4 linked regions of the Saccharomyces cerevisiae S288C genome follow. The main gene of each other region encodes a partner of the protein of the gene in region 3 in a complex. Each region holds a gene or a part of one and is shown on either strand. Other genes may lie near its edges.

Region 1 (9,713 bases), on a different chromosome or scaffold from region 3:
CCTCTTGTAAAAGCAAAAATGCCTTTCACTATTTCTGTGTAAACGAATAATTTCGTCATCTTAGTAGTTCACTGGATAATTGTGCTTTCCAATCAGATTAGTTAGTAAAACCCCTAGAAAATTTCAATGTTAGATCGGGATGATTCCTCATCGGGTTGTTGCTTATTCATGATCCTTTCAATTACTGGAAGCTTACCGAAAAGATATATAAAGAACCGAACTTATTCGGTTTACATGTAAGACAGTGTGTTAGTTATGGTTTTCCGCCCTTTTCTTCTCTTGTTTTCTTCGATATTTGTTATTAACCTTTTCTCATTTACGATTATATAATCAAGTGTCAAGATTGTGTCAGCAAATAACAGTAATATTCCAACCCGAAAAAAACTATCTATTTATCTTTGGATACTTTAACATAGACAAGAAGTCCTAAGAACTTACCATAATTTTTTTTCTAAAAACCCTTTTTTACTCAAAACTAATAGCTTATTCTGGTTATTTTTAATCAATCTAGAATTTTTTTCTTTTAATTCCAAACAATCTAATAACGTTTAACCACTAATTCTTTAATTATTAATATTTAATTTTAAAAATCTTCTAATTTTCCTGATAACTTAAAGTGACACTATTTTTTAAAAAAAGCATCAAAATGTCTGATTATGTTGAACTATTGAAAAGAGGTGGTAACGAAGCCATCAAAATTAATCCACCAACCGGTGCTGATTTCCACATTACATCTCGTGGTTCAGACTGGCTTTTCACCGTTTTTTGTGTTAACCTACTATTCGGTGTGATTTTAGTCCCACTAATGTTTAGAAAACCAGTTAAGGACAGATTCGTATATTATACGGCCATTGCTCCAAATTTGTTCATGTCAATTGCTTATTTCACCATGGCTTCTAACTTGGGTTGGATCCCAGTCAGAGCAAAGTACAACCATGTACAAACTTCTACCCAAAAGGAGCACCCAGGTTACAGACAAATTTTTTACGCTAGATACGTTGGCTGGTTTTTGGCTTTCCCATGGCCAATTATTCAAATGTCTCTACTTGGTGGTACTCCATTATGGCAAATTGCTTTCAATGTTGGTATGACTGAAATATTTACTGTCTGCTGGTTGATTGCTGCCTGTGTCCACTCTACTTACAAATGGGGTTACTACACCATTGGTATTGGTGCTGCCATTGTTGTTTGTATTAGTTTGATGACAACTACATTCAACCTGGTCAAGGCCAGAGGTAAGGATGTCTCTAACGTTTTCATTACTTTCATGAGTGTCATCATGTTTTTGTGGCTGATTGCTTACCCAACCTGTTTTGGTATCACAGATGGTGGTAACGTTTTGCAACCAGATTCTGCTACCATTTTCTATGGTATTATTGATTTGTTGATCCTATCTATCTTGCCAGTTCTTTTCATGCCATTGGCTAACTATTTGGGGATTGAAAGATTAGGTTTAATCTTCGACGAAGAACCCGCTGAACATGTTGGTCCAGTTGCTGAAAAGAAGATGCCATCTCCAGCTTCTTTCAAGTCATCTGATTCTGACTCTAGTATCAAGGAGAAGTTAAAGCTAAAGAAGAAGCACAAGAAGGACAAGAAGAAGGCTAAGAAGGCTAAGAAGGCCAAGAAGGCCAAGAAAGCCCAAGAAGAGGAGGAGGATGTAGCCACCGACTCTGAGTAAATGCTTTGATCTGCTGATGTAGCAATGTTTTTTTCCTTCTTTTTCCTGACGTATTATTATTTGAGACCGAAACTTCGCTGGAAAAGAAACACTTCGATCCTTTTTTTATCTTCTGCATTATAACGCGCAACGATGAAGTGTTAATACATGAAAGAAGATGGGATTGGATTGTAGCGACCAAAGGCCACAAATAAATATGCACTGTTTTTAAATTTTTTTTTCATTAAAAAAATACGAATAAATTCCTTAAACACATACATCATTTTGCTTCAAATTTTTACGTTTGTAAGAAAGACCATTTGTTGTCTTAATACCTATGAAGCACTACTTATAATCTTAATTAAATCTAATTCTTTTCTTTAACTTTTTTTTTGAGCATCGCTTCTATCAATTATGTGTATACATACATACATACATATAAATATACGCGCAGGCTAAGTAGAAAACAACGCAAGATAGAATTACTTTATTTGTCATTCATCAAGCGCAATAAAATCTCTCTAGGTGTGCAGTATTGCATTTTTACGTTCTTGGAGGCGGCTATCCATTCGGGTCCGTAAGTAGGCTCACATTGATCGAACATATTGTAGAGATCAACAGTATCCTTGCCTAACCTTGCATATGTCCTAAATAGCCAAACCCATGTATCTCCGTAACGCGAGCACTTTTTCAGAGCTCTTTCTAACCATTTTAATGATGTTTCATATTGCGCTTCTGCATAAAAGGATACTCCAATCTCCAAAAGAACGCGATGATCGTTTTGTGTCCTTCTTAAAGCATCTTGAAAAATTGTTTTTTTTAACGAACTTTTGTTTCCATGCTTAAACAGCTTGATTTGCTCCACCCAAAGTAAAGCATTGCTTGGAAACTTTTGCAATGCCTGTGTGACGAGTAACTCCGCCTGATCTAAGTTACCAAGTCTTATTTCCATTTGGATTTTAGCAATGTAAAATAATACATCGTCAGGATTTTTTAACAATCCTCTATCTAAAATTGATCTTGCCCTTACTGGATTTTTTAGATCAATCTCGTCAATCTTTGATAGGGAAACCCATAATAAAGGGCAATTGGGCACTAACCTTGTACCAGACAAATAGGTTTCTCTACTCATTTCAATATTGCCCATGGAATGATAAATTTGACCCAGCTGTAAAAAAAATTTGTGGCAGATGGGAAATGATTTCAAACATCTCTCATTCAAGAATTTTATAGCCTCTTCATTCAGATCTTGGTACCGCAGAAAGTTTACGTATTTATAATATAATCTTTCCGTGCCACTGATCTTAAAATCCTCTAAAGAGGAGAAAGTTTGCTGAAAAAAATCTCGTAATTCATCAAGTTGTAGTGAACGACCTAATAACTTTATCTTGAAAAAGCGTAAATCCAAATTATGCGGGGCGAAATCTATAATCTGGTCAATCAAAACTAGTGTTTGCCTAGTATCCCCTTTTTGGGCCTTCCAATATTCGCTTACATACATCATTAACAAGCCAGGGCTTTTCTCCCTCATATTTGCTCGTATATCATCACTATTCTTGGTCTGAAATAGCAGCTCCTGGAAAAATGCTAATAACTCTTCAATTTTATGGTAGCTTTCAGTGGCCATTTTCAGTCTAGACCAAAGAACTGTATCACAAGGATCCCACTGAATAAGCTTTTTTAAGACAGCAATTTGTACCTTTGAGTGTGGCATTTTTTCTAATATCTGATCAACATTATTCAACTCAGACTCATACTCGCCACTTTCTCTTAACCATTCTAATATAGCGTAAACGATGGCTTGACAGGTTAAATTTGAATTGGGCGCATCATTTAGAGCCTCTGCACGTTTCAACCATGCTGACAAGGTCGCTTTGTACCCATTTTTAGAGAGTTCCAATAAACCCTCCTTGAGCAAACTAACTAGTTTATCTACAGGTATATCTGGGTTATTTCGTTCTTCCAAGAGTGTAGAGATAATCCAAATTTCCGGTTCTTGCGGAAGGATTTTTCTGAAGGAATTCAAAGTCATTTTAGCATTATGATAGCTTTGCAAATTAGTATATGCAGTCAAGAGATCCATACTTTGTGGAATAAATTGTGTGGCTTTCTCTAACATTTTTATAACTTGCGCTTTGTCAGCTTCAAAACTGACAGCTAGCTTCCATAGGCCCTCATCTCGAGGAATCTCTTGCAGTGCTTTTCTCACTACTCTATATTTGTTAACCGTTGTGCTTTCCAAATCAATAGCTTTGAACCAAAGAAGCGGAGACGTTGGATTAAAATTTATTGCCGTTGCCACTAATGTTTTACAGTAGTGAACATCAGATTCGTGTAGTCTAATGTTTTCTAGCCAAATATCGGAGCTTCGAGGGCACTCTTGGCAACCATTTTCTATTATTTTTTTTGCTACTGAAAATTTTCTTGCCTTTTCTTCTAATCTGGCAGAAGCTATCCAACCCTGTGGATTTGTTGGATCGGCCTTTCTGTATGACTTTAAAATTGTGCGCATTTTCTGTAAATCTTCTAACGTTGCGTCTGAGAGAGAATTTACTCTATCGTTTTCTAAGTCCTTTAAGTAACTTAGGGCATCGGTAGCAGCGTTCGGTTTATTAACCTGTATAGGGTTACTTGCATTCTTCGTTAATTGTGCAAGATTCTCATCTATTTGAGATTGCAATAATTTTTCTCGTTCTTCCGTTAATTTATTTAAATCAACATTCCCAGGTATTAGCGAATCCGGTGCAGCATAAGTTTTTCTGTTTAATTGCTCTTGAATTCTATTTCTCTTGTTTCTTCTTGTAAAATCTGTGGCATCCGGAATATCCATCCACTCACTCTCCGTTACAGCAGCTAATGATTCTTTCAAATCGGCAAATTGCCGTTTCACGTTTGAAGAATCAACTGAATTGTCATCATCCTTTTCATTAGCTCTTTTCTTTTTCTTTTGTGCTAATTTCAATTCAAGCGTTTTGAATACATTTGCAGCTTCATCATCTTCATCATCTTTCGGTTGGCTTTGAAGATGGTTGTTCAAATTTTCACGGTACCTTTTCGGTATTCTTCTTCCTTTGTCATCATTACTAACCACTTGCTTTTCTTTTGTTGAAAATCCAGTGGCTCCACGACCAATACCTGGTACGTAACCTGCAGGTGGTTCTTGATCCAAAAAAGATGGCCTCTCCATAAAATGTGACGTTTTCTTGCTGTTAAACTCTTTATGTCAACTCACCCGTATATTTTCTGAAATTTTTCGTTTTTTTTTGCTTAATAGAACAATCTGACACACTATAAATGTACTGGTTAAATTAGCCCAAGGTTCTATCAACGGTAAAGAAGACTTTTAAAAATACTTTCGTTACATTATTTATTAAAAGAAGAAACGCCATCATTTCATAAAGGTCTCCGGAGGAGCTACTAAAGAAAGAGTGCTGCAATTAATACAATTAATATAAGTGTGGTTATTGAAAATAACTATTCATTTATACGGAGGGTTGGCCGAGTGGTCTAAGGCGGCAGACTTAAGATCTGTTGGACGGTTGTCCGCGCGAGTTCGAACCTCGCATCCTTCAGTAATATTTTTTTAATATACATTTTCTCTGCCATCATGGCTTAAAAAATGCTTAAAAGAAGGGAATTAGGGGGGATGGATGAACTAAGACATAACTTTCTTTTCTTCAATTCGAACTCTGTTGGGAAGAGTTGCTTTAAAAAAGACTCTCTATCCATCTATAAAATTTATTAAAACTTTTGAACTGCACAGAATGATTGGCTCACTTAGAAACAAATTTGAGCATTTCAAAGTTTCTGAAAAGGGAGGTCAAAATTTATCTACAACACTACCGAAACTACCCCCTGCAAAGGACCTTGATAGATCAACTATCTACAAGTACCGTTACAATTATGGTGTAAACTTGGGTGCGTTATTTGTGCTCGAACCATGGATTTTTTCTAAAGAAACCATTTGTACAATCGATGGGAAAGAATATGATAGCGAATTTGATGCTATTTCCCAACAATTGAAGAAGCATTCTTCTGAAGACGTTGCGAAAATGTTAAGCGATCACTATAAAAAGTACATTGATCGAATTGACTGGGAATGGCTATCTAAAGATGCCCATATTACAGCGTTACGTATTCCAATTGGATATTGGCATGTCGAAGATGGGAAGCATTTAGATTCGCTTCCATTTGCCCCATTGAGAAAAGTTTATGAGTTAGCCAAACCTTGGGAAAAACTTGGCGAATTAATCAATAATGCCAAGAAAATGAGCATTGGTGTATTGATAGATTTGCATGGTCTACCAGGAGGCGCTAATTGCGACTCACACAGTGGCTCGAAGAGTGGTGAAGCTGCGTTTTTCCACAAGGAAAAGTACATGACCAAAGTCTACAAAGATATTTTACCTGCAATTATTAACACAATGACTCTGGGCAACGAAAACATCATTGGTATTCAAGTGGTTAATGAGGCATGTTTTGATAATAACCCAAAGGGCCAAAAATTCTATTATTCAGAAGCCATTAATACCGTTGAAAAACTTCAACCAGGTTTACCTGTCATAATATCCGATGGTTGGTGGCCCCAACAATGGGCAGACTGGGTTAAAGAAAAACATTTTAGTGAAATAGTGGTCATTGATTCTCATGTCTACCGCTGTTTTTCTGATTCTGATAAGTCGAAGGATGCCAATTCCATTATCAAGGATTTGCCAAATACTGTGAATTTTCCTCATGAAGATGCCGATTATACTGTTGGTGAATTTTCTGGTGTTCTTGATGGACAAACTTGGAATAAAACTTCTGGCGACAGAGACGCTATTGTTCAAAAATACGTACAAACCCAAGCAGATGTATTTTCTCATGTAGCTAGTTGGGGTTGGTTTTTTTGGACTTTGCAGTTTGAATACGGTGATGGAGGTGAATGGGGCTTAGCTCCCATGATGCAGAAAGGAAATTTACCAAAACGTCCTCACGGTGATGACTTACAAGTCGACAAGAAGAAAATAGATTCAATAATCCATGAACACGAGGCTTATTGGAACGGTAAAGGTAAAAATTTTGAACACTGGAGGTTTGAGGATGGCATAAAGACAGCTGTTGATGATATAATTGCCTTTAGGAAATTTGACAATTCATTAATTGGTAGATGGCATTCATGGAAGTCGCAAAGAAGAGCTGAATACGTTTCTGCCAAAAAAGATAGCGAATTTATGTGGGAATGGGATCAAGGCTACCAACGTGGGTTAGATGAGTTTAATAAGTATTAAGAAATATACAAACACATATATACTAACTATAGGCGTTTCTATTCTTTTGGTTTACTGTCGAAAATAAAAAAAAAGCTGTTGTGGCGGCACTTCGTAAGTTTTCAATTATCCAGCTACTGCCAGTAGAGTACTCAATACTTTTACTTTCAGCTGAAATGAGGTTTTTCTTTAAATGAAGTTGATACGCAATATCATAAAAGCACCGGAATAATGGTAATCAAGATGAAGCGCTATGATATTTTTAGTATTTGCCATCTTCAAATCATTCTATTTTACCCAATAGAACATTCAAGTAAGGTGAACTATTTAAATTAAAAACTCAAGTAACATGGGCGATCTTTAAGCATTTGAGAGTTATTAAAAATTTCCGAATAGAGCAATAATGGAGGAAATTAAGTAAAAACTTTGAGCCAAAATAAATAATATTACAAAGCAAGCCAGAGTCTCTTTTTAATCAGAGGAAAGATGAGTTGATAAGCGTATAAGCTACTCTGCTGTGAATGTTTGAATCAACCTCCCAAAAGATGTATTGGAGGTATTAAGCTGCCTTGAAGTTGGGATTTGGCAGGGTTATAAAAAAGGCGTCATTGGCTAAACATGCAGCCACACATATTGTTGTTTCATAGCCATAAACTTTGATATAATGACCGAAAATTGTTTTTGCGTTGTTCCATAAGCCCAGCTGCCCGTTGGGTATTTTGAACTTTTGTCGCCAGGTATCGGCCGTTCCTAATATTATAGTAGCTTATACCATCAAGAAAGACACTACATCTAACTACTCAAACAAAAGTAACCCCACGGTTATGTTCACCGAGTTGCGTACGGTTAACATGTATTATATGGCAGCGCAAAAAGCGATGGCTGTGACAGATGATGAAGTCATCCATCGGTAATTGTCCATCTTAGGTAACAATTGCGAGGCAAGTAACACAGACTCTCGAGTACTTGTTTTTCAGGGTGTGAGAAGAGCCGTTGTTTACTTAGTGATAATTCACGCTATTTTGTTGAGCAAGTCATTAAACAATCTACTACCTGTAGCTCGTGAGTGGAATATCAAGGTGATATACACTTTTGTGTTCTAATGAAATTCAAATACTAATATTGACGAGTTTTCATATTACTAGTATATTATCATATAAGGTGTAAGAGAATGACATAAAGATTGAAAAAAAGTCAACGGATGTAATGGAAGCTGGATGACAACTTCTACAATGAAAGGAGAATAATAATGCTATAATGTCGAAATAGCAACTCTCTTTGTGAATTCTTCGCGTGGAGTAATTCTAGTGTCTTTTGTATTCACAATATTATAGCGTTTGAAAAACGATGTACTTCCAACAATTATTCCAAAATTCATCTATTTCTCAATGGTAATTCCTATTGATCAATTATTTTTCAAACCACTCAATTTAAAAAATTGTCAGAAATACCATCAATAAAAGGGTTTTATAGTGTAGTGGTTATCACTTTCGGTTTTGATCCGGACAACCCCGGTTCGAATCCGGGTAAGACCTTATTTTTATATATTTTTTCATGAATTATCGGACACTCTTAGAATGGAGATCTCGCAGATATGGGGCTGAGCCGTGCTGCATCAGTTAAGAAAGAAATAAGCCACCTCGATGCTGTGGTGAATAATTTACGGGAAATTTCTTGGCGTTTCTGTAAGTGACATGATCCGTTATAGTGCCGCAAAGCCAAAAATGTCTTATTTTTAGGTTAGCATCTTTTCAGCCTCGAAAAATGCTTGTTCAGCAATAATATATAAAAGTATCAGTAAAACAACACTTTTTGTTAGATGAACAATTGATTTTGTCTAGGTCCTTGTACTTTGAGAAATATCATCAAAAAAAAAAAGTGCGACATCACAATGAGACATCAATACTATCAACCACAACCGATGTATTATCAACCACAACCGCAACCTATATACATACAACAAGGGCCGCCGCCACCAAGAAATGATTGTTGTTGTTGTTGTAACTGTGGCGATTGCTGTTCAGCAATTGCGAACGTTTTATGTTGTCTGTGTCTAATTGATCTATGTTGTAGCTGCGCTGGCGGCATGTAAGCTGTGGTTTGCCTTGTAAGCTGTGGTTTGCCTTGTATCATCATGAACGCTTTTCTTCGTGGAGTAGTCTTCCTATATTGTTTCCGGTGGTTACCATCAAGATAATTTACACACACAAAATTTTCCGCTGTACGTTTGCGAGTGGCATAACGAATAATATGTATCCTATCATTTCAATGAATCACAGCTGAGCACATTTGAATTTTATTGTTAAATGGAATGCCGTTAAATGTATTATGTAATATCCATAAAAGTTCACACTGATTGTTCACTTTTATGAACCTCTAGGATTAAAAGTACGTCTTTGTTAATGAAGCCAGCAAAAAATGGAGAACATCAGGAACAAAGCGGCATAGCTTTGATCTTGCCTTGATGCTTCTAAAAAAATATATACGTTTGTAAGTATATACTCCAATTTTCAATAGTATTTTAATGAATAATTTTTATAAATAGAGGTAAGAGATTAGACACGTTATCTGGAGGTAATAACTAAGTAAATAAATAACAGCTACGTTGCTCTTTTTGGAAAAAGCATAAAACTCAGCCATCTAAGACAACATACTTAAAAAAGTAATAGTCTTTGATACATTCCTCGTGTAGGACAAAAGCAAAAATTCTCTTCCGTTTATTTTTCATGAAAAAAGCTTGTATCATATACACATATCTATATATTTGCATATTATTCTTTTTCGTTTTTTAGAATTAGCCATAT
Region 2 (7,506 bases), on a different chromosome or scaffold from region 3:
TGAAAAATATGATTGGTAGTTACCGCCAATGCATAGATTTTAGACAACTTAATAAGGCCATGTTAAAGGGTGCATTCCCACTATCGCGCTTAGGATTGGATGAAGCATAACTTTTCTTCACTGTCAAATTGCATCGTAGTTATATCAGATCCAAATAAAAAATGAAAATAACAATAACAAGCCTTCTATTTTTTCTTGTCATGATCGTCGAGCTCGCAAGTGCGGGCACACTACTTCATAATGGTGCAAATTTGCCCTCATTACGTGATAACACCACTCTAACTGATGCTCGTAATGTGTTAAAGTACTTACAAGTGCTTGGTTTTCCAAGCAACAAAATAGCGGCTACAGATACTGTTGGAACTTTTATCATATTTAGCAATCGTACGGAAGCTAACACTACCGCTATGACGAAGACAGTGTCATACTGTTATCGTAACTACGGGCATAGTTTCTACTTCACTCATTACAAATACGACTATTTTCCTAGCGGGATTAGTTATATGGCAAAACTTGGCGATGCCACCGTCAACCATACGGACTTACCTCACTTTAGGAACAACAAACGGCTAACAACGCAAGAACTCAATGCCTTCCAACATCCAATTGTCGAGTTTCAGTAAGTACTCAGGTATTACGTTATGTACATGTATGATAATTCTGATTAACATCTTTTATACACAAAGATGTATGCATGAATGGTGCAAATATCTCGACGATGCGCAGTAAAGAAAGCAATTTACTACTAACGTCTAGCGATATCATAGATGATGACAGGATAACGATATAGGTTAGATGGATATTGGAGTAATTGTCAAGTCCCATTTTGATTGAAGACAACATTATTAGGCCTACAGAGTTGCTAAAATTCTCCACTAGGTCACAGGAGTTCGCAAAAGAGAATCAACAATCTACATAACCATGCACACATTTCTTCGTCCTCTACGTTATAATTTACTGCTCTAAAAGCGTCACTTCTCCTTTCATTTTATGTTTTATTGTTCATTATCCTACTGCGTTATCAATCCTTACATTTCGGCTTCCACTAAATTTAATGACTGCTTCTCATCATTTCATGTCTTCTAACGCCGTATATAATAATATCCCAGCAAAATATAACTGTTAGTTAGTGAATCATAACCGACTGTTACTCCTGCAATATCCATGGGAGAAATCACCATCGGAAGGTAAACTAACACGTAGGTATTGATTCTACCGGAAATGAACAAATGTCGTACTGCCCAAATGAGCCAAATGCCATCATATACGCCTTCATAACTATATTTGAAAAATACCTTTGCCTAAAAGACGAGTGGTATTGGAAACTTCAATTAGTGTTCAAAAATGTCCAGTGAGAGGATGAAGTTGTCGTGGTTGAAACAGCATAAACCACCTAAAATAGTATCAACTGACAACAACTGTGGAACACATGCGGTTACTTTTATAATTAACCGCAAAATACCTGAAATGAGCTAAGAAATAGTAATTATAAACATGCCACTACAAGTAACAGATTAAGTGATATGTTGGCGGACCTCAATATAAGCGACATGGAGAGATAGAGATAGAAGAATTTGTTATTGTGTTAATAAATAAAGTTAACATCCAGTTCTTTCAAGTTGGCTAAGCGCCGTGGCGCAGTGGAAGCGCGCAGGGCTCATAACCCTGATGTCCTCGGATCGAAACCGAGCGGCGCTAATTTTTCATTTCTTTTTGCCCGCAACAATAACACAGATCGCAATCATTTAAGCTATAGACTATAAGCTTTAACTTCTGCGTTATTATTAATAATTGTTATTGTTTTAGTTAGGTATTTCTATCAACTTATTTTATATATTCTATATTACAGTTTTCTTTTTTTACAAATTCACCCAGCAATTATTTATTATTAATTGTACATCTTCTTTAATAATGAATTTATTATTGCACAATATTCAACTTAGGAAAGATAGAGGAACTGAATTCTTTATCAGCAATGAAATAGGCCGTCTACGGCCGTCTACGGCCTATTCCATTGCTAAAAATTTGAATCGTATAAAGGGATATTACCCGGAAAAGAAACGCATTAAAAAAAAAAAAAAAAAAAAAACAGAAAAAGTGGTTAAGTGATTGACTGACCCTTGATAGTTTTGTACAATTATACACTCGTTCTGATTAAAAACTTGTTTATAAAAATCTTTTTAAAAGAAAGAGAAGATCGTGTTTATTGCTTTTCTCAAAAAGACTAATCAATTAGAATAACAAAAGAAACATATACATATAATGACTGAATTGTGTCCTGTCTACGCCCCTTTCTTTGGTGCCATTGGTTGTGCCTCTGCAATTATCTTCACCTCATTAGGTGCTGCTTACGGTACTGCTAAGTCTGGTGTTGGTATCTGTGCCACTTGTGTGTTGAGACCAGACCTATTATTCAAGAACATTGTTCCTGTTATTATGGCTGGTATCATTGCCATTTACGGTTTAGTTGTTTCCGTTTTGGTTTGTTATTCGTTGGGTCAAAAGCAAGCTTTGTACACCGGTTTCATCCAATTGGGTGCCGGTCTATCAGTCGGTTTGAGTGGTCTAGCTGCTGGTTTCGCTATTGGTATTGTCGGTGATGCAGGTGTTAGAGGTTCCTCTCAACAACCAAGATTATTCGTCGGTATGATTTTGATTTTGATTTTTGCTGAAGTTTTGGGTCTATACGGTTTGATTGTTGCTTTGTTGTTGAACTCCAGGGCTACTCAAGATGTTGTCTGTTAAGGCAGCTTCTGAATCACTAAAGCAGGAATAGAGTATACAAAAGAATCTTTTTGTGAGAAACTATGAAAACTATCAAAATTTTTCATCTTAGAGATTGTTTATAGCCCCTATTCTTACTTCATATCCAAACTACCTCATTTCAAGCTTCCTTTTTATTAGTACCATTATTATTGTTTAAAAGAGTATTACACGCTAAATATGTATATCTTAATTTTTAATGTGTATAAAATAGAAAATTTGAATATCAAGGAGCAACAAAGAGCATTATGCGTTTTAAGCTACACAATGGGTACGATGAGATCACTATACCTGTACTCTTAAAAGAGGCCCAACCTTATCAACTTCTATTGTTAAAGTAGACAATTGTATCGTTTCTTTTTCTTATCGGTTTTATCCGGGTAATAAATTCAGCATATAGAAAAATTTTTCATTTCTATTTTCTTTTTCTTTTCATTTTTCCTTTTTCTCAGAAAATTTTTTTTTCTAATGCTGGAATGAGATGAGTTAGAAAATTTTTCACTTTAAAACTGATTATTCTGGTTAATAGTGCTTATTCCTCTTAGTGTTCAAGTCCTACTTTCAAATCTTAATTTAAATCATCATTCGAGCGAGCTTTCTATACCAGGACCATACTGATTATTGCAAGGAACTTGAATAAACCAGATTTCATACTATAAAAACTATATTAAAAATGTCTGCCCCAAACCCAAAGGCTTTCCCATTAGCCGATGCTGCATTAACCCAACAAATCTTGGATGTCGTTCAACAGGCTGCTAACTTGAGACAATTGAAGAAAGGTGCCAACGAAGCTACCAAAACTTTGAACCGTGGTATCTCCGAATTCATCATTATGGCTGCTGACTGTGAACCTATTGAAATCCTATTGCATTTACCATTACTATGTGAAGACAAGAATGTTCCATATGTCTTTGTTCCATCTAGAGTTGCTTTAGGTAGAGCTTGTGGTGTTTCTAGACCAGTTATTGCTGCTTCTATTACCACCAACGATGCTTCTGCTATCAAGACCCAAATCTACGCTGTCAAGGACAAGATTGAAACTTTATTAATTTAAGTAGATTGGATTATATCTATCAACATAGTTTTTGTACCATCTATATACTATAAAAAAGTTTTTTGCTTTCCACTAGTGCAGACGCTAATAGTGCTGTTTTGTTAGTGGTATGATATATGTCATATCTTCATTGAATAACCTACTCGAGTGCATCTGTAAATGCACAAACATGTATTATCAATTGAGCTGTAGTAATTTAGGCATAACAAAAAGGTGCAAGATCTCATGGCACCTATTCGTTCGTAGGAGATTTATTGTCACCTTTTTAGTTTTACAGGATCGAAAAAATCTATGGTCTTGTATGGTGAATGATCTATATGTCTTCTCTTTGAATTTCTAGCTAGCTCATCAAAGCCGCTTTCATTTATTCCAGTCTCTTTACTCACGGAATATTGTTTAGTAACATTTCGCATGCTTTTCTCAGACCTTCGAAAAGCTCTTTTACATTCGAGCTTGATCTTTTTGTAATCATGCAACGTTCTCATCCACAGCTCACCAATGAATTCCGATATTATATAAATTTGGCCCTCAGTACCGCAAAGTAAAAATAGAGGTATGACGCCTTCCAACCTTTGACTATTGAAATTTGGACATATTTGAAGGTTTTGAAATCCATCTGGGATGGCCGCCAGTGAGATTATCTTATTAGGTAACCGAATTTTGAGGTATGGCATAGCCAACCCGCCCTTATCAACTGATAATTTAGAATCTTCGTATATTGTCAAGGTATTATCAATACCAATGGTGGCAACATAAGATCTATTGGAATATTTCAACGTTGCACAAGAAAGGTCTGATAATCGACCTAATAGATAGTTCTTATCACTCGCTAAACAATCGTTTTTAGGTTCTCTTAGCTTCTTAGGAATTATTTTAGTCGCCACTTGTGTAATGCTTCCCAACCGCTTAAAACCCAAGTAGGGACATTCAGGGTACTCTGATGGATATACTATGGACGTCCTAATTGGAAAGCGGGTTCTCAAAAAATCTCTCAAGATCTCAAATTGAACCAGATAATCACCACTCATATAAGCTGGAAGACCTATATGGTTAATCGATGAAAGTGCTGGGAAGGAATAGGCCTCTAAAATTTCCGCGCCCTCTTTTAGCATGTTTATTTTATATGCTGCTATGCCACTATCACCAGAAAATAAAACCAAGTTGCACTCATAGTATATGAACACCGAGAATATACAATCTTCGAGATAATTCGCGTACAATTGGGTAATGTTATTGTTTCTAATTTCAAACAGCCAGAATTTTGTACGTTTTTCACCAACTCCTAAGCATACAACAAACTTATTACCATAAAAGGGTCTCTGTGATAAGTAGATTGAGTTTTGTTCTGGCCACAGTGGCTTCACAACGGCATGTAAATACTTTTCATCCGAGAAACTGAATGTGGAAACTGCCTTCATTGAAGCATAATTGAATAGCATCAACTTATACTGCCTACTATTGCTATCGACCAAACACACCACGGCCTGATTGAGGTTATTTGGAACAGTATAGAGCTCTACGGGAATGCTAGGGAGGTAAAAGATATGATTTTCTAATTGAGGTTTTAATGAAGTCATCTGCTTAGTGAAACCTTCACGGTAAAACGTGCTACCAAACTCAAAGATGCTTATTCGAGAATCATAATCTAAAACACAAAGAGAGAACAGTGCTTTACCGGGTCGAATTCTCATTCGTCTTGGAACTAAGCCTAACTGTATGCAACCATAAGACATGTTTTGAAGATTTAACAAAATTATTTCCTTATCGTTGTAAAGGAAAACCAAAGGTAAGGAAGGAATCGTATCCAACAGTTCTAATTTCTGATCGTATAACGAATGAATCTCTAAATCCACTCTCAAAAAATTTGATTCTGATTTGTAGACTCTTACGCAGCCAGTGTATGATGATGCGATGACATAAATCGAGTCGTGTTTATGCTTTTTGCTTAGCCAAGATATTTTTATCAATTGATCATAGGCTATGAAAGAATAGTCTGGATGTGATGTAGCCACTTTCTTTTGATTGGCATTCCATACCGAAAACACACCGTCCAAGTAAATGACAAAAAGGTATTTCTCGGCACCATCTGAGAAACAGCTCACAATACTCTCTTTAGAATTGAGCCCATGGATAAAAAATTCTTCTTTTTTACGTAGAAAACCAGATTTTGCCTCAAGTATCGAAATCCTGAGCTTGGAGTTCTGTACGGGATAACAAAACATGGTGGAAGAGTTGTGGTTCGACTGCAAGAAATCGACCTGCCTAAATTCTCCGGTAGAACCATCCATACCGGCTTTCAAAACTTTTCCCGTCCTAGAAACAAATAGACCGTAATCATAAGGCTCATCCATTAAAAATATTCCGTTCTTATAAATCAACCCACCTGATTCATATGCAAATTCGTCACCACCATTAAGTGCTAAATCTGTAACCCAAAAATCAGTTACATTCTCTACTAGCGCTTTGGAGGAAGTCACTAACTTGAACAGGGTTTTGTCATATACCAAAATTTTCTTTTCTAAAAATCCTCTTCTTGAGTTAAAACTTCCACCCAAAAGCAGTGAATCAATATCTGTCCCCTTGTTTCCAATAACTTGTGATGCCAGGTAAACTTTGTTTGTATAAGCGGGACCGCTTTTCACCTTTTCTAATTTTGAACCTCGATGATCTTTCGATATAAAATTTACTCCATTTATTCTTGTCACCGCTATATACTTTTCACGTGGGAGCTGCAAAATAACATCGCATAGATCATGTTTAGGAGGCTTGAACACTCTTTCTTTTGTCCATTGTAGTTCTTTCAGGACGTGGTCTCTATGTAACGACCTAGTGTGTATCTTGGCAGTGTATTTGTTAGCATACACGTCAGAAATTGTCAAGAGAATGACTGATCTTTCATATATCACATCATAAGAATCTTTTAGAAATTGGTAGTTTTCTACATTTGGGAGACCTTTATTATTGAAAAAAGCCCCGTTTGTAAGCCCACTTGCTTTTATATTTATTATTTGAGTGTAGTTAGTAGTCAACACTACAATGGTATGGCCGCAAACTACCTTCATATAACAAAATTCATTATCACATATCGGCAAAAGATTGTATTGGCGGTACTCGTTTAAATCAAATTTCCTACTTCCATGCTTTCCAGCAAGATTGTATTCCTTTAAAAACAGGTTTTCACTATAGCAACTCTTAAGTAGGCAAAGAAAATAAACGTGTGATTTACCTGTGCATGTGGCGTCGTCAAGCAAATCCTCCCTGCTAATAAAATCAAAGGAGATAATTTCTTCGCCATCGGTGGCATAAAATCTTTCGACTATTCCTTCTCTGAAGTCAAAGGAGTAAATTGTCGTACATAACGTATGCAAATCACTATCATATGATATGTTTTTATTGCAAGTGTATAAAACACCCTCAAAGGAAGCATTTAACCAGCTGGAAGTTAATAAAGAAATAGTATCCAGTTTCGGAGCCACATTAGAGTCGTAGATAATTTCAAATTTGTTATTTTCGCATTTGAATCCCTTAATGGAACCGTCGTTAAACATTAGCAGGTGACAGAAGGAAGCTGACATGAACATCGGTACAGTTGCGTAGTTAACAACGAACGGTCCATCTAAAGCGAACTCAACCTTCGCTTTCAATTCGTTGGACGTTCCGGTATACAATCCATAGCTAAAACATAAAAA
Region 3 (7,417 bases):
ACTTGTCAAGCGAGGAAAAATATCGCGTTACTGTCATTGAATCTATTAAATCTTACATCAATAAAAATGCCATAAATATTCCTTTTAATGAAGGTAACCGCAAAAAAGGGCAGAATGCGATTACTTGGTCTTCGGAAATTGTAGAGCTATATCGCAGTCAACACTCGTTTTTGGAAAGTATTGATTTTGGTTCTGTTCGTCTTAATAATTTGACCGGGGATGTATCTAATGCAATACTTGGCGATGTTTTCTCAATGTATTTCTCTAAAGAAGGAGCATTACCATCTGAGTATCTTTCTACCTACGTGGACCATTGTATGAAACGAACCAAGGAAAAAGATGCTGAAATAGTGAAGATCAAGCAAGATTTGCTTGATAGTACCAAATTAATCGGACTCCTAACTGAGAAGGATATATTTGAAAAGATTTACAAAAAACAACTCTCCAGAAGATTACTGCAGCAGAGGTCTTTAGTGGAAATTGAAAAATGGATGGTGCAAATGATAAAGAAGGTTCTAGGAACTTTTTTTACCTCAAAATTGGAGATAATGCTGCGAGATATATCTTTATCCTCTGAAATGTATCAAGCATTCCAACACTCAACAATCAACAGCATAGAATATTTGAGTTTTGCACCACAAGTTTTGACGAGAACGAGCTGGCCCTTTCAGAGTACTAATCCAATTGATGAAGGTATTTCACTACCTCCTAGAATGTCACAAATTTTAGCTGGCTTTGAGGGCTATTACAGCTTAAAATACAAAGAAAGAGTGCTAAAGTGGGCTCATCATCTAAGTGTAATTGAAATTGGCTGCCAATTTAATAGCGGTTACTACGAAATAAGTTTTTCTGTTTACGCTGGAGTGATTTTCCTTCTATTTGAAGATTATGAAGAATTAACGTTGGGGGAAATATATGAACTAACTCATATTCCCATAGATGACGTTAAGTCTCTTGTAATGTCAATGTCGACAATACCCAGATGTAAGATTTTGAAAAAATCATCCAGTTCAGGAAATATGAAATTTTCAGTTAATTATTTCTTTTCTTCTCCAAACAGGAAAGTGAAAGTGCCGGTTATTGCATGCCCTCTACCATCTCAGAAATCAGATAATTTGGCAACCGCAAGTTCCGTGGACACTTATGATAATGAAATTGTTATGGAGCTTAGTGCTATTATTGTTCGTATCATGAAAACAGAAGGTAAGCTAAGCCATCAGCAATTACTTGAAAGAACTACGAAACGGACACAGTCTCGGCTCAGTCTTACACCGAGCATTTTGAAACGAAGCATTCAGCTTTTAATAGAGAAAGAATACATCCAGAGAAACGCAGATGACCCCTCTTATTACCATTACCTTTCCTAATTGCTTATAATGAAAATCACAGGTATAAGGTTTGCAGAATGCCAACAGTATATATAGATGGCAGTTCCTATCCGGCTGCCAGAGCGAACAATATTAAGAGGATATGCGTCGATACTAATTGAATGTTCATCCTGCATTCCTTAGTGAAACTTTCAAAATATATAATAACATAGTTATGGTAGACTATATATCCCAGTCAAACTTGAATGTAATGTGGAGTGGGTAATCGATATCTCTTGAAGTTTATTATGCCTCATTATATTTTTATAAAAAACTTCTAGGAATTTGTTGAGTCAAATAATTTCTTTCTTAATCATTAAGTAAGTTAAAGTTACGAGCCTTTCAGACCTGCGTAGCACTGCTTCAAAGGAACTATTATCAATAGCAGCGCCTTGCTCTTTTTTTTTTTTCAGATGCTTAGCGGCCGTATTTCACTTTTCCTGGTAGAAAAATATATGTTGAAATTTACGGTATAAGAGAAGCTCACCAAAATTATTATCAATAAAGCGGCACTTTTAAATTTGGTATTCTTCCCTGGTTGTCAAGCCTTGGTTTCCCTTTATTTGATAGTATGAGCGAAATAAATAATGAAAATCTAGAGCCAACCTCAAGTACAGTAGCTGAGTCTACAGAAAGCAAGAATAAACACATTCGTAGCGCTTTAAGAAAACGAAGAGGTAAATTAAGCGCCCAAACTTATGAGGAAGATCAAGAGGCTATTTTATCATCTCCTTTATTGACTTCAACACCTAAAACAGTCTCCAGGTCATTAGTGAGGTTATACCCATATTTAATTGTTGTGGATAACTTTCTAAGTATCATCACTTGGTCCAATGACAATGTCTCTGCAAACTTGCTTGGAATATTCTTATTTACGGTTTGTGTTCTATATTTTGGATTTATTACAAGGTATTTTGGACATTTAATGATCGTTGGTATAATATGGGTATATCTTTTAATTGACAAGCACGTTCAAGAAACAATGGCATCTTGCCCTTCATTGGATGATATAATACACGTTATGGATAGGGTTTCTATGAAATCTAGCGCTGTGTTATCTCCTATTACGATTTTGAGCGCTCAGGATGTTAGAAGACTGTTATTTACCATTGCCTTCCTATCCCCAGTTTATATTTTTCTAACAGTGTTTGTGCTATCTCCAAACTATTTAATGTTAATAGGGGGTCTGTATGTGCTTACGTACCATTCTAAACTAATCCGAAGAATGAGAAGATACTTGTGGAAATTTCGCGTTGTTAGATTACTTGTATTTTTCATAACAGGATTAGACCTTGGTGGACCAGATAATAATAGGCGCTTGTTTGCTTCTGTCAATAAGAAAATAAGGTCCTTTGTTTGGAATGAGGTAGGGAACACATCTAACACTAAAAAGACTGTACTTTTCAAGGTTGCTCTGTTTGAAAACCAGCGCCGCTGGCTTGGCATCGGATGGACATCAACTATGTTGAGTTATGAGCGCGCATCTTGGACAGATGAATTCCTAAATACTTCTCCAAGCCCAGAAGTGTTTACTTTACCAGAGGAGCAGTCGGGAATGGCTTGGGAATGGCACGATAAAGATTGGATGCTTGACCTAACAAATGATGGGATCATTCAACTTCCTGCTTCTGCTGCTAAGACAAAAGTTAAGCCAGGTGCAGATGAAGGTTTCATATATTATGATAACACCTGGAATAATCCCTCTGCAACGGACACATATAAAAAGTACACAAGAAGAAGGAGGTGGATCAGGACTGCAACAGTAACAACAACGTATGACGATGAGCCCACTGTAGAAAAAGCTACACCGAATTCTCATGCTCTGAAGAGTGAAGAAAATAATAGAGTTAGAAAAAGAAAAGTGTCATTTAGTACAGCAAATGAAGTGCATATCATACCTTCCTCGGACAGTAGCAAATTAATACAAATATCTGATGTTTCAATGTCTCCTTCTCTATAATGAGTGCATGCCCCATATGGACAACAACGTTCACACTGGTCGGTGCAAGGGCACACAGCAATCTCAGAGTTTCTTTCATTGGCTGCATGGAGCACAAATTCAATCTTGTGCTTTAAAGTATCTGCGCGGTTATGGCAAGTTCTCCATCAGTCTCTTATTCCAGCAAGCATTCTTTTACGGAACTTCAATGCATCTAAATACATATGTACAGATAGCCAAAACTAATAGAGACATAATAAATTAAACAAAACTGTAAATTTTAAAAAGAGTATATATAGGGCTCAAGAAACTGCGTAAATATAAAATTAATGAAGAAAATCTGATTGTCAACTAAACGACATCTTCCATTTCTATTTCATCTTCCAAGTCAGCCTCCGCGTCTCCTTGCGCATTGTCTCCAGCGGAACCTGTTTGCTCATCAGCTAGTTCACCTAAGGTTGCCTTTCTCTCCTCCTCTTTCAACTTTTTATACTCTGGCCTTAAAGTGTATTTGAATGCATATGGGCCCTTCTTCACTAGAGTGGCAACTTTATCCAAACACTCCTTTAAATGTGCTTCAGGTTGCCTAGTACGTTCCTTCAACCCCTTCAAGGACCAGTAGTCATACTCATCAAATAACTTGAACAAGTAATCCAAGATTTCCTTCTTTGGCATACGAATAGATTTAATATTGCTCTTGGCCTTCTCACGCCCCACTTTCAAGAAATTCGAGTTGTCTGACCTCATGGACATACCTGTGTGGCTCATCGTAACACCAACGGTTTCATCCAAAGTTGTGATCCTTTCCTTATTATTAAGCTTGACAATATTTCTTCTCTGTTCAACAATCTTGTGATAATTAGGATCATTCATTGATGGCATAACCTGACATTCGTGGCAAACTGTACCCACAATGGCGGTTTTTTTGGGAATCGTCTTCACATATGGTATATATCTATCTCTACCATCCCTATCTGTCATAACTCTGTGATTAAACTTTTTTCTATTATTTCTACGTTTTTGCTGCTGCTGCTTCTTCTTAAGTTCCTCTTCACGTTCTTGCTTCTTCAGGTAAGCTTGCCTTTGCTTTTCAGGATCTGCTTCCAACTCCTTTTTACGTTGTTGATATTTCTTTAAATTTTGTTCTGTGAAAACATATTCATTTTCTACTACTTTCTTTGTAAGTTCTAAATCATATTCGTGCGGTATAGAATCGTTATCATTTTCATTCAATAGAAGTGTGATTTTACTCCCATCCTTGTTTATCCTAATTTTACCCAGTTCTTGGCCATGCAAGTTGTTTCTGTCCCTCCATTTCTCTGCTAGAAACATGGGCAATCTAACTAACCAGACTTGTCTATTACTACGTTCCAAGTCCAAATCTAAGGATTCTTCATAAACTTTGGTTTCATTATTCTCAATATCATTACCGTCAAAAACTTCCTCCTCTTGCGAAAGATACTCATCACCGGAAATGTTACCTGATTTCTCCTTCGCGACAGAGTTCGTGGAATTATTAGAAAGTGCTGGTGCCCCTGCTGAACCACTGCTCATGGTGTTAAGTTGGTCTTCTATTTTACTCTTAATATTGCGTTATGCGTTGAAGCCAACAGCATATGTCTTATTCTTCTAATTTCAAGCCTGATAATTTATTCATTTCGCGCAAGGGAAGATGAAAAAGTTAAGAAGAGAATCGACCTTTGGAAAGGGCCCCAATGGAAAGAACTTCAATGTTTTTTCCTCTACAAGTAATAAGAGCATAAAATGGACCTAGATCTAGCCAGTATCTTAAAAGGTGAAATTTCTAAGAAGAAGAAAGAGCTGGCCAACTCTAAAGGTGTTCAGCCACCATGCACTGAGAAATTCCAGCCACATGAATCCGCAAACATAGACGAAACACCGCGACAGGTAGAACAAGAAAGTACAGATGAAGAAAACCTGTCAGACAATCAGAGTGACGATATTAGGACCACCATTAGCAAATTAGAAAATCGGCCAGAAAGGATACAAGAAGCGATAGCTCAAGACAAAACCATCTCTGTAATCATTGATCCATCACAAATTGGTTCTACTGAAGGAAAACCTCTTTTGTCAATGAAATGTAATTTATATATTCACGAAATATTATCTCGTTGGAAGGCGTCTTTGGAAGCTTATCATCCGGAGCTGTTCTTAGACACTAAAAAAGCACTCTTTCCACTCCTACTGCAACTACGAAGGAACCAGCTTGCCCCGGATTTACTTATTTCCCTTGCGACCGTTCTCTATCATTTACAACAACCTAAAGAAATAAATTTAGCCGTTCAGTCCTATATGAAACTCAGTATCGGCAATGTGGCCTGGCCTATTGGTGTTACTAGCGTAGGCATTCATGCTCGTAGTGCACATTCGAAAATTCAAGGAGGCCGGAATGCTGCTAACATAATGATTGATGAAAGAACGCGATTATGGATTACCAGTATTAAAAGATTAATAACTTTTGAAGAATGGTATACCAGCAACCACGATAGCTTAGCCTAATTGTTGAACTATTGTTTTCGTTATCGCGTGGCACGATATCATGCGGCCAAAATAAGAAGCAAGAATGCAGATGTTGATAGCCTTTGTTCAATTTTCCAGAGACAAATGCTTTACAGGATCGGGACTTGAAATATACTGACTGGATGACGGTAAACTTAGATCCGGATAAAGTTTGGATAGACGGCTGCTTTGATTTCACACATCATGGGCATGCGGGAGCCATTTTGCAGGCTCGTCGAACAGTTTCAAAAGAAAATGGTAAACTATTCTGTGGTGTGCATACCGATGAAGATATTCAGCATAACAAAGGAACACCAGTAATGAACTCTTCAGAAAGATATGAGCATACTAGATCAAATAGGTGGTGTTCGGAAGTGGTTGAAGCGGCGCCATATGTTACAGATCCCAATTGGATGGATAAATATCAGTGCCAATATGTTGTTCATGGTGATGATATCACCATAGATGCTAATGGAGAAGACTGCTATAAGTTGGTGAAAGAGATGGGGCGCTTCAAGGTAGTTAAAAGAACATATGGCGTAAGTACTACCGAGATTATACATAGAATATTGACGAAAAAATCTTTGCCACCGACTCATCCTGATTATTATCCCACCACCCAGGAATTGAGTTTCTATTCTGTCGCCCAAGATGCCGTTTCAAAACATTGTTATGTCTTTCAGAGGGATTTGGACAATGTCTTGGTCAATGGTGGATACAAATTCGATGCAGAAGATTGTGTTTATGTTGACGGGGATTTTGACTTATTCCATATGGGGGATATTGATCAGTTAAGAAAGCTGAAAATGGATCTTCACCCCGATAAGAAATTGATTGTTGGTATTACCACAAGCGATTACTCGAGTACCATTATGACGATGAAGGAACGCGTCTTGAGCGTTTTAAGTTGTAAATATGTTGATGCCGTTATTATCGATGCTGACGCCACCTCAATGTCTCAGTATAACTGCGAGAAGTATCATATTGGCACGGCTGTCCTCACTGCTGCCGGAAAATTCAGTGAATACTTGACTAAAGAGCTTATTGTGAAGAGGGTGGAATCGCAAAGGGAGGTTTACATTGCGAGGAACCAAAAAAAGGGAATGTCCATATAAACAAATGTTGAAAACTTCTTCGAACGTAAATTAAATGGATGTAAGAAAACTGTATTACATAAGTCATGAAGTAGGCATGCAAGTATATACCTATAGATGCATATAAATCAGTGGAGAAGGCCACTATCCTTCAGAGATCAAAAAACCTTTTTTTATCTTGAAAACGCCCTCATTCCTTTTGGACGTTTTCAAACTTTTGTTCATGCGATTGCAAATTTGAGCCTCTTCTATCTTTCTTGAACACTGGGGGTATTTCACCATTATCAATTAAGTCATCAATCTCATCGCCTGGCTTACCCCAATTACCCTTGCCGGAACCTTGCTTCTTGATGTGATTTGGAGATTCACCGTAGTTACCAGTGTGCGAAAAGTACTTTGGATCAGCCTTTCCTTCACGTTCGGTCCACTTGTTTGTTCTCGTCATTTTTTCTGATTGGTTGTACACTTGAGCGGTTTGTTACTGTTGATTGTTCGTT
Region 4 (7,739 bases), on a different chromosome or scaffold from region 3:
GGGAGCTAAATCATTTATACACGGAAAAATTAGTGAAGGATTTTTTGGTGGGGTCTCCAAGGAAGTAATTTCTACGGTGTGGTCTATGTATGTTTTTCCGGACGCGTTCCGCCGTTTTGGTTTCTGCCCCAGAACACCCCCCATAAAAGAGGTTTTTCCGAAGAGTGCCTTTCAGTTTTTCCGAGATCTTTATCTTTTTCATCCGTATTATGTAAACCTGAATAGCCCCTTGAGCAATTGAGTTGCATAATAGCATGCAATTGCATATTGAACCTCCTAGGACTTAAAGGTTATTCGTCAACTAAGGAAAAATATGCTCATAACTTACATATCTCGTACACCCTAAAATCCCACACAGGGATTAAAATTAAAATTATGTTTAGGTAATGAAAAAATAGTAAAAAAATGCTTCCTTAAGTTAATTATGAATTTCCCTATTAACACACATGCGTACACAAAAAAAGTATACGGAAACTATATTAGACTACACTACATCAACCTTATTTTCTTTTAAAACCTGGTGGGGGCTGAAACTTCCTTGTTTGAGGGGGCGCTTCATTATTAAACCTCGACCTATTTGCGCCGATATTATCGTTGCCACCATTGTATCTGCTCGACGATGGTTGGGCAATCTCCCTAGAATTGCTACTAGTATGCTTCGCATTGGCCGTGTTAGGTTTAGCGATCTTTCCCGGCTTTTTCTCTTTCTCTTTTCTTAGTTTCGTCTGCTTTTGCGCTTGTTTCTTTTCCTTTTTATCTCTCACTAGTCTTTCCTTCTTGGATAGTAGCGGCTTATCCTCCACCACTGTGGATAAGATCTGTTCTCCTCTTAGTATAGTCAGTCCCAACACTCTTTTTTCTACCTTGATGTTCAAAGTGGTTCCATCTTTTGAATCTTTTCTCGGTCTTAATTTATCTAGTTGAGTTTTGGGTACCCTCTCTTCTATACACTCATTCAACACTAAATTCATATGTTTATCAAATGCCATCAATTGCCCGATGTAAACGCGGCCATCTTGAGTGAGAACCCTCAGCTTATAATCAATAAGGTTGGCTAGTCGGCTGCTATGTGCCACCTGTATTTTGCTCATTAGTTATTTACTTTACTGGAAACCTGTTATACGGATGGTTCTGTTACCCCTTCTACTTTTTTCCCTGTCTTGTTCATTTCTAACTAGCATAGGCTTCTTTAAATTTCATTTTTTATTTTCATAATTTTTATTTTGAATTTTTTCCCACATTATCGTGAGAAAAACAAGAACATGGAGAAATAAGGAAGCTCGGTGGGTGGTTAATTGGGGAACACACCTGGTAAGTAAAATTCAATACATGGAAGGAAAGAGAGAAATAATGTCTGACGAAGCAAAGGAAAAGCGTGAATTAGAAAGCCAAAAGGAATCAAGTCATAATAAATCCGAAAAGTCTGTGGAACCTAAGCCAAAGAGAAGAAGAAGAAGAAACTATGACGATTATGACGCTGAAGTAGCAAAAGAGGAGACTAAGGCTAAAAATGGTTTGACGAAGAGCGAAAATAATGGTACTGTTGAAGATTCTGAATCTGATATGGACGATGCCAAGTTAGACGCATTGATGGGAAATGAGGGAGAAGAAGAAGAGGACGATTTGGCAGAAATTGATACCTCTAATATCATCACATCCGGAAGAAGAACACGCGGCAAAGTAATTGACTATAAAAAGACTGCAGAAGAATTAGACAAGAAGGAACCTAGCACAGGCTCTAAAGATGATGTAGGATATGGTGAAAAAGAAGAAGACGATGAAGACGAAGAAGACGATGATTTTAAAGAGTAGTAAGCAAAATGTCGTACATACCGGCCTCTACTTGTGTATTCTGTTTACTTCAATTTCCTATATGCGTTCTATATGTATATAAACTATATGTCAGCAGAAAATTGTAAAAATATAGCACAGAATTAAAGGGGAGAAGAGTCATTCACATGCAAGTGCGCAACTGCTGCAAAATATCTCTTAACAACAGTTATTTCCATTTGCCTTTTTGTTTTCGTTTGGTGTTGGTGTCAGACTAATCGTTGGTCCATTAGGAGCGGACGCACCATTGGCATTCCCGTTGGCACTGGAGTCACCAAGGTCCATTTGATGCTTGCTGACCTTTTGATAGATGGTATTGATTAACTCTTCAAAAGCCTTATCCACGTTTTCACTGTTCAAAGCACTTGTTTCTGTGAATAATAACTGATTTTCCTGTGCAAAAGTCTTGGACTCCTCCGTAGGTACAGCACGTAAATGGGCCAAATCAGACTTGTTACCGATAAGCCCCACTGCGACGTTGTCATCTGCATTTTCTCTTAATTCTGATAACCAATGATTACAATTTTCATATGAGCTTGATTTACTGATATCGTAAACGATCAAGGCACCTACAGCTCCTCTATAATAAGCAGAAGTAATGGCTCTGTAACGTTCCTGGCCCGCAGTATCCCAAATCTGCGCCTTGATCCTCTTGCCATCAATTTCCAAAGTTCTGGTGGCAAACTCAACCCCAATTGTAGACTTTGAATCCATATTGAATTCGTTCTTCGTAAATCTTGACAATAGATTGGATTTCCCTACCCCGGAATCACCGATCAGTACAATTTTAAATAGTAGGTCGTAATCATACCCGTAGTCCTCGCTGCTCATTGTTGAAATCCCCAGACGCCGTCAGAATCCCTTTGCTGGCCTAAACAAAGTGCCTTGTAATAAAGGTCAAATTGTTATTCGTTTCTTTCTTGAAAAGTTTTGAGTTTCCCTCTTTCTCTAATTTAGCACCCGCACACCGCAGCGGCCTGTGATATTCCGCATTGGAAAATGGTAAACAAACAACAAACGAGCCCAAACATAACAACAGTAGAATTGACGCCTAGGAACAACAATACAACATACTTACAGCAAGACTACTACCTAATTAGTGCAATTAGATTGCGCTGGGATAGATCTGAAGCTTTTTTTCCGATTATGAGCCTCCCTGTTACACCTGTCAAGAGCAAAGTGTGCAGTACATTATCGATACAACATGAGATGGACCATGATCAATGCCGTGATGTGTTGTGCCCACGCGAAAACTTACTAGCCATTAATAGAACTAATAATATAGAGAGTGTTGCTATACCGCGACAGAGATCGAGCAAGAACAAGAAACCCCATGAGCATACACAATCGCAGGTTCGATTTTCCATTCCAGATCCAAATGAAATATCACAGGACTCCCCACTGAAAATTGTATTCCCCAAGAGTGGAAATGAAACCGAAAGAAGAATGTCTACTTCATCATTACTTATGAATAGCCATGGTCATTTAGTCGACATGCACTCTAAAATACTGGTCGATGTCCCTAAAGAAGTTTGGAAGTTTCATCATAACAGGAGAAAAAAATGTGAAAGCAGGCACCGTAAAACTCGTTCTGATGTTAGGTCCAACACAAGTAGTAGTGGAAAAGAACCAAACCATTCTAGATCAAAATCATTACAGTCGATCATTGTGGATACAATGAACACATATCGTGCAACCGAGGTTGAGACCAGTATTAATGAGAATACTAGTAATATTAGCCAAGTATCTCCGCTGAATTTATCATTTGACAGGCCTCCTCCCTTAACTCCCGAAAAGAATTTATATCTCACTCCTGAATCGCCATTGAACAGATATCATTTACCAGTTCCATTAGAAATATCTCTGCCGCCCTACTTATCTCCGCAAAACAAGGATAAAAAGAGGAGTAGCTTGGTTTACGATGGGGATGGCTATAGCCAGTTTCAAGAAGGTAACACCTCATCGTCAACTGAATCTTCTCTAGAACAGCCCTCATCGTCGTATTCAGATGAAGATGATTCTATTCCATATGCCCACCATGATGTGTCTTTCGAGTTAAATAATGCAGATGCTGATAAGCTTCTTGGAATTGATGAGAACGCCAACGTCAATCTGAAGATACAAAGGAGAAATCTCAAAAACCCACAACATATTAAGAGTAAAACAGATAGGGAATGTGAGGAAAAAAACACTGAAAAAAATGTTTCGTTAAAAATTCTGTCAACACCAAATAAACTGATAGACATCCCCGACTTAGAGCACATGAAATCCCCACCAAGCACAGGTTTAAATGGGACATTAAAATTTTTCCAGCAGTTTGAACCTAGCGAGGAGCCAACTTCTCCAACTCGCCAAGTTAACCCTGAATCACTGGACAAACTCGATATGTCATTCAAATTTCCCTCCAGTACTACTAACAATAATGTGGATAAGGTACATGAAAATAGAAACTCTGGAGACACGAACAATGAAGATTTCCTGAAAGTTGATACTTCGCCTGTGAATCAATCATTTGAATCCAGAAGACAGATGTTAATAGACTTGCAAAAATCTCCGACGAATAATAATCCGAGGATACATAAACATAGGAGAAGCAGGAGCGTTCATAATATTGATGACATTTCCTTAAATTTCGAGGCAACCTCCACACCACCAGCTCCGACCTCTGCTCCCTCAATTCCTGTTGAACATTCTAACCCATGTACTTCCATTGAAATACCTAAGAGATCACCCTTACGGTTCACGTCATCTCCAAAAACATCTGATATTCCTCCTGAAGCTCAATCACCTAAAAATGGGTCCTTCCTCCAAGAAATCTCGGTACCTTCGATTCAAATTATACCAGATGAAAGTATCTCTCATACAAGAGAACCATCACCATCACTTATTGAATGCCCAGAGGATGAAAACGAAGCTTTTTCTACTGAAGTTGCTGACCATTCTATTGCAATAATTAGTGAAACAAAAAGTGTTCCATCGATAGAGCCATTCAAACCGCTATCTTCATTCAATTCATTTGGTCAAGAAATTCAAAACAAGGAACCAACTCCTTTGAACCAAACTCCTACAGACTTAATTGGTAAACAAAGAAACTGTGTGAATCCGCATTCAATTCCATTTAGTGTTTTATCTTCCAATAGCCAATCGTCACAATCGGGTAGTAGTAAATCTTCCTACAATTCTGAGTTTTCTTCCAATACTGCCATTACGGATACAACATCTCAACCTTCTGTGACCATTAACAGGTCAACTTTAGAACATAACTTTATAGAAGAAAAACGATCAATTAAAAATTTAGGTCATGGTCCTCCATCCCAGAAGAACAACTATTCGTTCCCCAGGAATAAGAATACTCCTTCAAATAGACACGATTTGGATTTTAATACCATTTACGAAAAAAGAGATGGTAAAATGGTTGAGGTTATTCTTTTAGATGAGGATGAAGATGTAGGCCTCAAAAATAACGATATATCACGAACAAGAGTCTGCCATGCTCAAAAAGCTAAAAATGAGCAACAGAAGAAACGTCTAAGCCATTGCAACGAAATTTTGGGCATGTGTGATAAAACTGCAGATGATGCAAAAAGAATTATTTATCAACTGGTAAATGAGAAGCATAAATTCTCAGAAAAAGGACAACAAACAAAGCCAAAAAAATCAAGAGTACTTCCGCCGTTGCCTTTTCCACTGTATGATGAAAAAGGGAATTCTTTGATCCCGAACAAGTATCAGTCCAGTATTCATAACGACATTCCATCTCATCGCAAACTAAAATAAAAAAAAAAAAAACAACCCTACAAATTGTTCTGGTAAACAGATTTGACCAGCTCATCGCATGAAGATTTATCGGAATGGCAATTTGCTTATTGCCTATTTTATTTTTTCATCGGACATTACAAAATTTCATATCTCTTACATGTAAGAAAAACTTCTAGTTTTTGTACTTTCTTAAAAAAACTATATTCAGACATGCCAATTCTGTAAAACAAATTAATAATATGTACTTTTATATCTACCAAAGATCATCCTTGGCACATGCAATTGATTACAAATACGAACATTACGCAAAGGTTTTAAAGCTAGTCACCTACTAGGGAAGAAATGTGGAGGCTACGGGCATAAAAAACATGCAGTATTTTCTCACGCTCTCTTTGGCGAGCTTTGAACAGAAGATGGTGTCTCCTGAATAGGGCTTAATGAGTAGTCATTTGAGAACTCCGGTGTGGGTTTAGTAAATGAATTAGTTGGTGTGATAGTTGTCGGTAAATTTGGTGAGATTACGTAGTTATCATTGCATTTTCCATCTAAACCATTCGATATTTGATGTTGTGGCGAAAGAACACTTGAAGGTTCTACGTTTTGACCAACATTATGATTTTGATATTTACTATCTCTCATTTGGGATGAAGTTTTTCGGGAGAGTGAATTGCAGTCATAAGTATTCCAATTATTACTGTTAAAGAAGGTGACAGTCTTGTTTGTAAGTTCAATCTTATTTTTCATCGGAGCTAATTCTTTAGCCCCTTGGTTGATCGTTAATTTCCCATTAAAACTATGCGTACTTCTGAAAGACGATGACACAGATGAAAAAGGAGAGACTTCTCTATTCTTGGAGCCGCCCCGTAAAGGAGATTTCAGTGTACGACGATTAAGATCATCTCTTTCAGAATCAGAGAAGTTAAAATCCTCTGGAATGCCATTAATTTCATCGATGTCGTAGTGGTCGAAATCAAAAAACTTACTTTTCTGATTGTATTCGTCTTCCTCAGCTTCATCAATGAAAAAGAGATTACTCATTGGTCTGGGGACTTCTGAATCTAAATCGCAATTTAAGTCATGATATTTTAGTGATTGAGACCTAGCTGGCGGCGGAAGAGGGGGGCTATTGAGTACAGCCGTATACTGTGGGCTCGCATAGTGCGGCTGCTGTGAATGAGAGGAATCAATAAGTTGAAACGGAGTTCTTAGTATGCTACTAGTGTCATCATCATCATCTTCACCATCATCATCGGTGATTGCAAGGGCTTGTGATTGCGCATCAGAAACGCTTGGAGTTATTACAATCTTAGCCGGTGTTTGAAGAATCTGCGAATGAGGATGATTGGGAGGATGGGATTCTGATTTGGTTTCATACAAAGAACTTTGCAGGGAGACCTGCCTTTCTGAATCATTGGATACTAAGCCGTTAGAATTGTTCCCTCCTGTCCCAGAATCACTTTCAGCGTCACTTGCACTATCATCAACATTAAATATATCTGAAAACGACTTTACTGTAGGCTTGGTAGAGCCAGTAGTACCTGTAAGGGAAGCCTTTATTGCAGAAGTGTGCTCCGTTTCATCATCCGAATTATTCCTTTTGAGAGAGAAACTATAGTTCGGCTTTCCATCACGTATGATATTTTTGTTAGATTGACTATAGATCCCCCGTGTTGATTTTGCATTTGCTGGTCCACTTTCTATACTAGGAGCTTCATCGGAAAACATATAAGACTCAGCTTCTGACATCTCTTTGTCGTCGTTATCGTCCTCATCAGACAAATCGAAAAGGTCATTGTATTTTTGAATAGGCTTCTTGACATTATCGTTTATTAGAAACTGCTCTTTGTTGTCAACCGTTTCTCCAAGAGATGCATCATCATGGTGTCCGCCATGGTTACCATTAAAAGTTTCTTTCCCGTTTTCTAATCGTTTTTGATAAAGATTATCACTCTCATTTTCATCTCCATTGTTACTGTTATCTTTACCATCCTCCTCCTCATCATCATCGCTCAAGTTAAAAAGATCATTGAACTTTTTGACTTTATTGCTTTTCAAGGATGTTTCTTCGAATCGAGTCGATAAACCGCATATTTCGTTTCCCTCATTACCACTCTCATCATCTTCTATACAATTCATATCGTCATCAAAGT

What was found.
Region 1: PRP18 (region 3) and PRP6 share a complex: the UniProt entries of both Saccharomyces cerevisiae proteins name them as parts of the U4/U6-U5 tri-snRNP complex.
Region 2: PRP18 (region 3) and SNU13 share a complex: the UniProt entries of both Saccharomyces cerevisiae proteins name them as parts of the U4/U6-U5 tri-snRNP complex.
Region 4: PRP18 (region 3) and SMB1 share a complex: the UniProt entries of both Saccharomyces cerevisiae proteins name them as parts of the U4/U6-U5 tri-snRNP complex.

The regions. Positions count from the first base shown.
Region 1 is NC_001134.8:342,455-352,167, forward strand, and holds PRP6 (U4/U6-U5 snRNP complex subunit PRP6), read right to left. Parts: upstream 4,848-9,713; coding exon 2,148-4,847; downstream 1-2,147. Other genes in the region: YRO2 (Yro2p), read left to right, coding at 647-1,681; MRX18 (17-beta-hydroxysteroid dehydrogenase-like protein), read left to right, coding at 5,425-6,930; MNC1 (Mnc1p), read left to right, coding at 8,801-9,001. UniProt on the Saccharomyces cerevisiae protein: Participates in pre-mRNA splicing. Part of the U4/U5/U6 tri-snRNP complex, one of the building blocks of the spliceosome.
Region 2 is NC_001137.3:98,507-106,012, forward strand, and holds SNU13 (RNA binding protein SNU13), read left to right. Parts: upstream 1-3,436; coding exon 3,437-3,817; downstream 3,818-7,506. Other genes in the region: YEL028W (uncharacterized protein), read left to right, coding at 162-623; VMA3 (H(+)-transporting V0 sector ATPase subunit c), read left to right, coding at 2,263-2,745; YEL025C (uncharacterized protein), read right to left, coding at 4,075-7,506. UniProt on the Saccharomyces cerevisiae protein: Common component of the spliceosome and rRNA processing machinery. In association with the spliceosomal U4/U6.U5 tri-snRNP particle, required for splicing of pre-mRNA.
Region 3 is NC_001139.9:501,000-508,416, forward strand, and holds PRP18 (mRNA splicing protein PRP18), read left to right. Parts: upstream 1-5,070; coding exon 5,071-5,826; downstream 5,827-7,417. Other genes in the region: cullin CUL3, read left to right, coding at 1-1,367; PEX31 (peroxisome biogenesis protein), read left to right, coding at 1,939-3,327; transcription factor IIF subunit TFG2, read right to left, coding at 3,658-4,860; ECT1 (ethanolamine-phosphate cytidylyltransferase), read left to right, coding at 5,970-6,941; STF2 (ATPase-stabilizing factor family protein), read right to left, coding at 7,111-7,365. UniProt on the Saccharomyces cerevisiae protein: Component of the U4/U5/U6 snRNP, binding principally to the u5 snRNP. It is not absolutely required for the second step of pre-mRNA splicing at low temperatures but is required at higher temperatures.
Region 4 is NC_001137.3:212,087-219,825, forward strand, and holds SMB1 (mRNA splicing protein SMB1), read right to left. Parts: upstream 1,092-7,739; coding exon 501-1,091; downstream 1-500. Other genes in the region: CHZ1 (Chz1p), read left to right, coding at 1,351-1,812; Rab family GTPase YPT31, read right to left, coding at 1,990-2,661; FIR1 (Fir1p), read left to right, coding at 2,977-5,607; ZRG8 (Zrg8p), read right to left, coding at 5,971-7,739. UniProt on the Saccharomyces cerevisiae protein: Plays a role in pre-mRNA splicing as a core component of the spliceosomal U1, U2, U4 and U5 small nuclear ribonucleoproteins (snRNPs), the building blocks of the spliceosome.